Cricetulus griseus: one gene and its partner. The main gene of each other region encodes a partner of the protein of the gene in region 2 in a complex. Links are inferred from orthologs where the notes say so. Each region holds a gene or a part of one and is shown on either strand. Other genes may lie near its edges.

Evidence for each region. The genes of interacting proteins can lie anywhere in the genome.
Region 1: Satb1 (region 2) and Hoxb2 share a complex: the UniProt entries of both Homo sapiens proteins name them as parts of the nuclear protein complex. The link is inferred for Cricetulus griseus from reciprocal best matches to the Homo sapiens genes SATB1 and HOXB2.

The regions. Positions count from the first base shown.
Region 1 is NC_048600.1:109,508,672-109,513,001, reverse strand, and holds Hoxb2 (homeobox protein Hox-B2), read right to left. Parts: upstream 2,826-4,330; 5' UTR 2,789-2,825; coding exon 2,407-2,788; exon of another isoform or gene 2,372-2,406; intron 2,016-2,371; exon of another isoform or gene 1,621-2,015; coding exon 938-1,620; 3' UTR 557-937; downstream 1-556. UniProt on the Homo sapiens protein: Sequence-specific transcription factor which is part of a developmental regulatory system that provides cells with specific positional identities on the anterior-posterior axis.
Region 2 is NW_023276806.1:251,346,074-251,350,133, reverse strand, and holds the start of Satb1 (DNA-binding protein SATB1), read right to left. Parts: upstream 2,803-4,060; coding exon 2,592-2,802; intron 1-2,591. UniProt on the Homo sapiens protein: Crucial silencing factor contributing to the initiation of X inactivation mediated by Xist RNA that occurs during embryogenesis and in lymphoma.

The DNA of each region.
Region 1 (4,330 bases), on a different chromosome or scaffold from region 2:
CCCGCGTTGTAGGCAGAACACTTCCTGAGCAGCCTCCCGACTTCTGGACAAACTCCTAGGCCCGATTCCAGTCCTAAGCGACCTGCAGCCCAGCAGCACTCGGGCGTAGGCCTCGGCCCAGGCTTGCAGCATCGCATCCTGGCTTCTGCACCTGAAGCCAGAAGGCTAGCAAGTCAGAGGATTCCCTTTAATTCCTTTAACTCCGTGCCGACTCCAGGACTCGAGGCTGACGGCCCCTGAGACATTTTCTTGCTTCTGTCCACCACCCCAAATTTATTTCCAAGCAGGGAGACAGGGAACATCCGAACAGGGCCAAAGGCCGACTGCTGGCCTTGGTGACCAAGCTTCCACTAAACTACCCGTTCATCCTGGTGTCGTGGACAGAGAAGTGACACCAAGCAGGGCCACTTTTGTGCCACCCGGACTTCGCCAGCCTGGGAAAAGGGGCCATGCTACCGCTTGGTCGCCCGAGCCAGACCAACCTCAAGTGAGGCCTGGAAAAGCGAAGACTGGCCATAGGGACTTGGGAAAAAGAGCTGGATCCCAACACAAACACTCGTTTTCGTATTATAAAGACATTTATTTAATCTATGAAAATAATGTACAATAAATACTTTCCCCTTTTCCTATTATTAAACAATTTTAATAAATAATCTACCATCTAAAACTTAAAAAAGAGGAAAATAGGTCCCTCTCGTTCTTTTTAAGAAAACCCTCCCCCACTAGAGTTTAATTATTCCTGAGATTTCGTTGGAAGGTGGAATTTTTCTGTGTGGTTTTAAAAAGTGATAGGGAGTGGATTAAGCGCTAATTCATTAACACCTGATTTTAGCAAAACACATAAATTTGACTAGGGGTGGAGAAGGCTCGATTTTTTTTTTTTTTTCCTCCAACAGCCAAAGAGGACCAGGTGGAAAGGATCGAGGAAAGAAAAAGGTTAGGGAAACTGCAAGTCGATGGCACAGAGCGTGCTGGTGAAGAAGTCTAGCTCTTCCTCGGAAAAGGGGACGGGGCTGTCCAGCGAGCTCTGCAGGCTGGGAGAAAGACCTCCGGACATCTGGAGACAGGAGTCTGCAGCGAAGAAGTTGAGGTCCGGCAGGAAAGGCGAATCCGGCTGCTCAGGACAGGTGTCTTCGGGCAGGGTCTCTGGCTGCAGGCCTCGGGCTCTGAGCATCGTGCAGCCAGGGCTCGGCGCGCCCATACTCTCCAGGGAAGTGGCAGGAGGCGCGGGCGGCGGTGCGCCCTGGGGACCCTGCGCTGCCTCGGCCGGGAGGAAGCAAGCTTCTCGCAGCCGGTGAGAGGCGGAGGCAGGGCCTGGGCTGACTGCGGATTCCTCTGCTGGGTCTCCCGAGTCGTCCGGGGCGCTCGGCCCGCCTGGATCCCCATCCGGAGGTTCCCGATGCTGCGTCTGCCGCTTATGTTTCATGCGTCGGTTTTGGAACCAGACTTTGACCTGCCTTTCGGTGAGGTCCAGCAAGGCGGCGATCTCCACGCGTCGCGGCCGGCACAGATACTTGTTGAAATGGAACTCCTTCTCCAGCTCCAGCAGTTGCGTGTTGGTGTAGGCCGTGCGCAGCCTGCGCGAGCCGCCGCCGCCGCTCTCCGACAATCCCGGGCCATCTGCGAAGAAAGCACCCTGCTCCTCAGAGAGGTCTCAACCCAGCCTGGCTTTAGCTGAGATCAGGAGCACCCCATTCGCTAATAAATGATCAGCACTCCTACTCGGGCTCCCACCCCACCCCCCAAAGTGGTTCCCTCTCTGTGTCTTTGGTTTTGGGGGGGGTGAGATTTCCTTTCTTTCTTTCTTTCTTTCTTTCTTTCTTTCTTTCTTTCTTTCTGTGCTCTCCCACGCAGGAAGACCTGGCGGGGTCAGGTCGGTGCATTCAGAGCCGCCCACGGGCCACCTAGGGGGCGGGGAGCAATTCCTTTTCGCTCCCAGAACCTCAGAGCCTCCCTCCCTCAGTCCTCCCAATGGACCCCTCAATTCGGAACTTTCCACCTCAACCGGGAAAGAGGTATCTTCACCCCTTTCCTTCCTGGCTTTTGAATTTCCCCTGTTCTCCTAGGCATGGGAGAAATAGGAGGATCGCATCTTTTCCTGGCTTCATATTCAATCCCAGGCACAAGGCTTCATTCCTCTACACAGATAATGGGGAAACACTTCAATCGAACCATTTTCTTTTAGCACATAAAAAGCACCCTACCCCCTCCCAGTCAGCTTCCAAAATCTGCTGGGTGGGGGGAGTGGTGTTGGTGCTCGCAGTGGCTAGGCCTGGACCCCAGCGGAATAATCTTCTCTAACCCCAGAATCCATCGACACAGGGAACCCACCAGGCTCCCCACCACCTCACTTTCTTCCCTTCTCTTCCAGCTGCCCCTCACCCCGCCCCCACTACGCTTACCCACCTGAAGGTGATCCGACCCCGGAGACCCGGACCGAGGAAGCTGCTGGAGAAGGAGATGCGGCGGATTGGCTGGGTTTCTTGGCGGATTTCTTCTCTTTCATCCAGGGGAACTCGGGGGCTGGGGGGGCGGCGAGTGGTGGCGGTGGCCGCAAAGCAGGCCCATCTTCGGCTTGCTTTTGGCTCCCGGGTCTCTGAAGGGTGGAGGCGCCGGGCTGGAGGCTGGGGTAGGTTTGCTCCAGAGGAGGAGGAGGAGGAATTAATGTCGACTCCTTGATTGATGAAGTTTGAAATGTCTCCAAGACAGCGGGGAAGGAAGTCAGACACTCGGCGAGCGATGGCTGGCTGTTTATAAACCCAATCTCCCTCTCAAATTCAAAATTCATGGCTTTCAATGGTGGGGGAGGGGGCCTGCTGGGGGGGGCGTCAGGAGGGAGGATCGGAAGGGACCCCCTCTCCCGCCCCCCCCAGGTTTATTCAATGAAGCGATTTCGCGGGGGAGGGGGATTTCTCTCTCTCTTTTTTTTAAATTTAGGCCTTTATAATTGTATATTGCTGATAAATACACGCGTATGGGGACTCTCTCTATTAAACCCAGGACTCCGACGAAATTGCAGGGAATTCATGGTCACGGGACCGGTCTCCGCCAATCGCTCGTCTGGGCCTGGTGGAAAACACAGGCATTATTTGCTTTAATTGATTCAAAAACTCCAGAGGACCACGACCTGGATACCATAAGCCTTCCTCCTGTACCCCCATTCCAATACCAGCGCCCCACACTCTCCCCAATTGCTCCTTTTCCCCCCAAGAAAAGCCAGAAGAACCACTTCCTCCCCTTCAGAAACTGTGTGGTGGTGGGAACCTGCCAAAGGACCACATTTAAGGGAGAAGTGGGCTTCTTGTCTAAAGATTTTAATTGAGTCAATTAATATGCTTTCTTTATGTGGTCATCAGTACCTTCTCACCCTTCCAACCACCCCCCAAAAGAGCAAAAGCTCATTCGGGAGGAAGTGGGAGTAGAAAGAGGTTTCCACTCTTTGGGGGAAAGGTCAATATTAAGGTGAAAAATCAGAACGGAGATTGATGAATGGCAACACTAACCACCACCAGCCCAGTCCCACCCACCCTCTACATGCAGCAGTTCAAACTTAAGAAATGCACAGGCTGGCACGAAGCAGTCAGGTGCCAGGAGCACTTTGGAGCACTGGTCTCCCTCTCCTGTTAGCTGCCCTGGATTCTCTTCTCTGCCCAGTATTTACAGGCAACCCTTTACATCCACCTGCCTTCCTGTTGAGGTCATCTATACTCACACTCTGACACCCCAGCACTGGCCATGGGAGGGTCTAAGAAGGTCTAAGATGGCAGACACATTCATAGTCCTCAGGTTGTATCTATGGCTACATCCAAGGGCAACAAGGTAGCCATCCACATAACTTTCAAAGCTAAAGTCAATACATGGGGGGGGGCGCTTTCCCTCAGGACAAAGGGACTTTCCCTCCCATATTGGCTTTTGTGCAATTGTTTTTAATCCCTGCTTTTAAAAAAGTTCCCTAAAGATGAAGGGACGAGAAATAACGACCAGCACTGAGATTATATTCTGTTTACGGCCCCCAGAGGGGAAAATTTAATGTATTTTATTGTGAGAAGATTATGATAGGCTCAACTTTAGAATGTTGTAATTTACTAGAGGGAGGAGACACAAAACTCAGAGCCACAAGCAATTTGGTGGGAAACTAGGCCTCAAAGCTGAAAATGCAAAGTCGATCTGGGGGAAGATTTTTAAATAAGTGGGTCAGAGGGACCAAGAGGAGATGAGGCGATCAATCTTAACCCCCTGACAGCTCCCTCCGATTGCTTCAAAGAATTTGGCTCTTTGGGAAAGCAGAGGGAACAGCCTAAATTCCACATCCCTTAAAAAGGCCTGAGGG
Region 2 (4,060 bases):
GCTGCTTGTATCGGCTCCATACCCTGGACTCACACTGGACTTGCAGATCCCTACTAACTTCTGACCGAGGCTTCGGATCAGCATTTCCTATTGCCAGAGAGACCCTTTACAAATTCTCTATTTGCTCGTTTCTGCTGAACAAAAGCCGGCCATAAACCAGCTACATCTTTCCACATGTGTGTCTTCACCAAAGCTTTGTGAACTGTTCACAAGAGATTCCAGCTCTGACAATTAAACCCCTTTAGGTTTACTTAGAAAAGCTCACAAACTCATTCGGAAGTACCAGCAGGCTAGGCATGAAAAACAAGCCGCAGAGCTTGCCAATATTCTTGTCATTCATTCAGCTGTTTTATACCAGAGAGAGAACCCGTCAGGGATCAGAAGAGAACTTGGGGAGACCGCAGCAAAAATAGCAATATGCAAACTGGTGATTTCTTCCTTGGCTTGAAGGTATTTTGGCAAAATCTCTTAAACAAATAAAAACACCCAAGCCCCCCCCCTTTTTTTAGTGCTTTCTCAGCTTAGCCACAATTTTTATCTAGCACCTGTCAAACAGAAACCATGCACATGAAAAATAAGATTTAAAGAGAAAAAAAAAAAAACTACTGAAAGGCTTAGAATTTTTTGCTTTTTGTATTAAGCTCAGAACCTTCTACAATTAAACTGTATTTTTAAGATTTGGAATTTCGAATGTAATACATTTTTTTGAAGGTTTTGAGCAGGAATGTGATGATCCTGCTCTGGCTCCTTCTCCCTGTCTACTGGTATCTATGGAGTTGGGTTAACAAGCCAAAAACATGTATATTGGTTTTTCCTCTCATGGAATCAAACAGAGGTCTCAAGCAGGGAGCTTTTCAGACCTCAGCTCTATGAAATAACTGAAACCTTTTCAAACCACAGAAACAGTCTGGGTTGACTCTGTGTTTTATTGATCAAATTTAAAGGTGCCTTATAGATAATAAAGGTGGCTACAGATAAGGTAGCAACAGGGTCATCTAATTACAAAGCTGGTGCTAGGTCGTCTGAGAACTGTCACGGTGGCCCTCCTCTTAGAGGGAGTAACGTTAAACAGGAGCCTTCGCTGGACTGCCTGATTATTCGAGCTGGTGCTTGGCCAGACTTCCAACTACAGCAACTTCATAGCCTTCCTGCATTAGAAAGGGAGAGTACTGGTCACTGCTGAAAGCTAAAAATACCACATGATTTAAACCTGAAGGCAGTCTTAGAGGCTTTTGCTGGAGGTTTATGAGCCTGTGTAAACAGCACGGCTGCCATAAGGAGCAGTGGAGTCTGTAGAATCCTTGTCTAAAACTGTCCTGGCATTAAAGTTTGCTGTGCAAATATCACATAATACCAGAGACAGCTGAAATCTCCTATTTAGGAATTTATGGAACTTGTGTTTGCAGGCGTCAGAAAGTCTTTTTTATAGAGCCTCAGTGCTACACAGTACAATATTAATGCACTCTGTTTGAAAAGCCATAATAAATTATATTTTTAATGCTCTTGCCCTGGCTTAAAGATGCATACATTCTTGGCAAACAATCAATAAATAGGGTAATCATGAGTAGAGGCCAAAGAATTTGCTGAAGTGCTGTTTTTCCATTTTTAATAGATAAAGATCTAACAATACGGACTGCTGTGTCTGTTTATTTCAGGATCAATATATTCTTTGTTTTCGCCAAACCAAGGAAAAAATAAATGATTGTATGTATGATAAATGTTATGCATCAAACACAATGAAATTCCTCGGCCTCCTAACTTTCTCTACTTAATATTCGTGGTTGGTAAAAGATGGCATTTTTATTCTTTGCTTAGCAAAACCCAAAAAATCTGACTCCTATGTGTTATTCAATCACAAAATAAAGACCCTTGTGAGGCATACGGGATACCCCACATAGTAACTGCCCTGTGGGGACAACAAAGCCCAACACAGGCAAAGTTGTTAAAACTCCATCAATTTAATTTTGGTAGAAAATCACTTGTTTATATTTTCCCCTTTATAAACTTGCCTAAATTTTCCTTTCCTTTACCAAAAATACTCAAGGATAGCAAAAATTAACAACTACAATCAGCAAGTTTTTCACTGTTAAATATTACTTTGCTCTACAGAAAATAAACCACAATAAATTGCATCACAAATCTTTGATCTCATGTCAGATCCATGTCCTGAAATCCCCTTCCAGTTAGTAATCGCAGGAAAAAAAAAAAAAAAAAAAAAAAAAAAAAAAAAAAAAAAAAAACTACGATGATGCTTAAGAACCTCTGAGTTTTACTCTTCACCAGCCAAAGTTCAAGCAGCAGCCACCTGCACATCTGTAACTGCACCAGTGTCTACGAAGGGACCTGTGTAAACGAAGACTATTCAAATATTCCAATATTCCAGTCTTGGGTCAAAAGAGGCACCACTCAAAACCAGCACTCACGCTTTTAAGACATGATTGACACTACAGCCCAGAACATCACTTAATTTCACATCAGAAAGAGATCTAGAAAAAGAATATACACAGCATGTTCCAGTCCCACACCTCCACATAGGGTGGCCTTGGGCAGACACCAAGCAGCTTTCCAGGATTTGGCTGCTAAGTATTTACCTTTCCTAAGGTTGGCTTTCATCAGATGGCCCGAGTGTTTTAAAGGCACTCCCTGCATCTTTGCACCTGTGCTCCCAAGCCTTCCTCTTCCTAGTGGGCTTCCGTTCTGCTCCAGGCGGGCAATCTTGGCTGGTGGACCCTTCGGATCACTCACATTGTTAGACATTTCTGAATGCTCTTTCCCCTGAGTTGCCTCGTTCAAATGATCCATACTCAGTCACTGTCTTACAGATCACCTGCCAGAACTGGAAAAGAAGACGTTATCAGTGGGTGGAGGGCTGTAGTGATGCCTGCCCCATACACGTCTTATCCCTAGACATTTCTCTCCACAAACACATTTGTACACAAGACCCTGTTTCTATATAAATTAACAGAATACTGGGGAATCTGTACCAACGTACGTGAATAAAACAGTAATTTCTCAGCTAAAAGTCTGAGGAAAATAGGCTTACTGTCAGAACAAGAATACCACAAGGTAAAAAGAAAATAAATTATATTCATGTACTCTCAATTTTTAAAAATTAAAAATTTATGAAAGACTATGACTGCAATACTTCTAATGAAGAATGGAAAGATTATCAGTATAAAGCATCAATCTTACTAGGAGCTCATACTTTAACATACTTCGAAAACCTATGTTACAAATGAAAACCTCAGCAGAGCACTGCAAACACCCATTGCATTTTAAATTGCCACTTGCTTTAGGAGCTAAGGCAGTGAGAAGTTTTCTATCAGCTATGCTTCAAGAGTTTCGAGCTGTTAAAGATCTCAAGCCTCTGGACAAGCACGTGACCCCTAAGCACACAGGAAGGGCTCCTTTAAATGTCTCATAGCTTTAAGCAGGACAATTTGTCTGTTGGAGTTAATATTTAGGTGTTCATTGCTAACTGGGTGCTGTTAATTTAGGTAGAAAAGAACCTGAAAATATTTTGTGATACACACAAAAAGTACATATGTGAAGCTTGACTTAAAAAATAATCCCCATACTATTGACAAAACACAATATCCAATGTTAAAAAATAATAATAACCAGGATGCAAGGGAGTTAGCATCAACATAATTTCAAAAAATGCCAATTTTCAGTTTTATTAAATATTAGGCTTCAACTTTAAATACTGCTCATAATAAAGCAACTGGTACAATATAGCAAAGTTACTTCTAAATTAAAGCTATTTAAATAGCTTTAAATAGGGCCAGTTAACAGAGCAGGTAAGCAGAATTATGCTCTAAACTTTCATTAGCCTTGAAGTATTGGGGATATTTAGGAAAGCTACAGAGAATATGACAGCTGTCTAGTATTTTGAATTATCTTATATACTTTAAAAAATTATTATTATACTCAAACTCTTTGGACCTGGATCAGCTAAGAGACAGTTTGTGTTAGCATGGCTTTTCTATAAACATTTTTCTCTCATTAAGTCCATTCTTACTTCATGCTATAGAATCAAGAAATGGGAACAGGCATATAT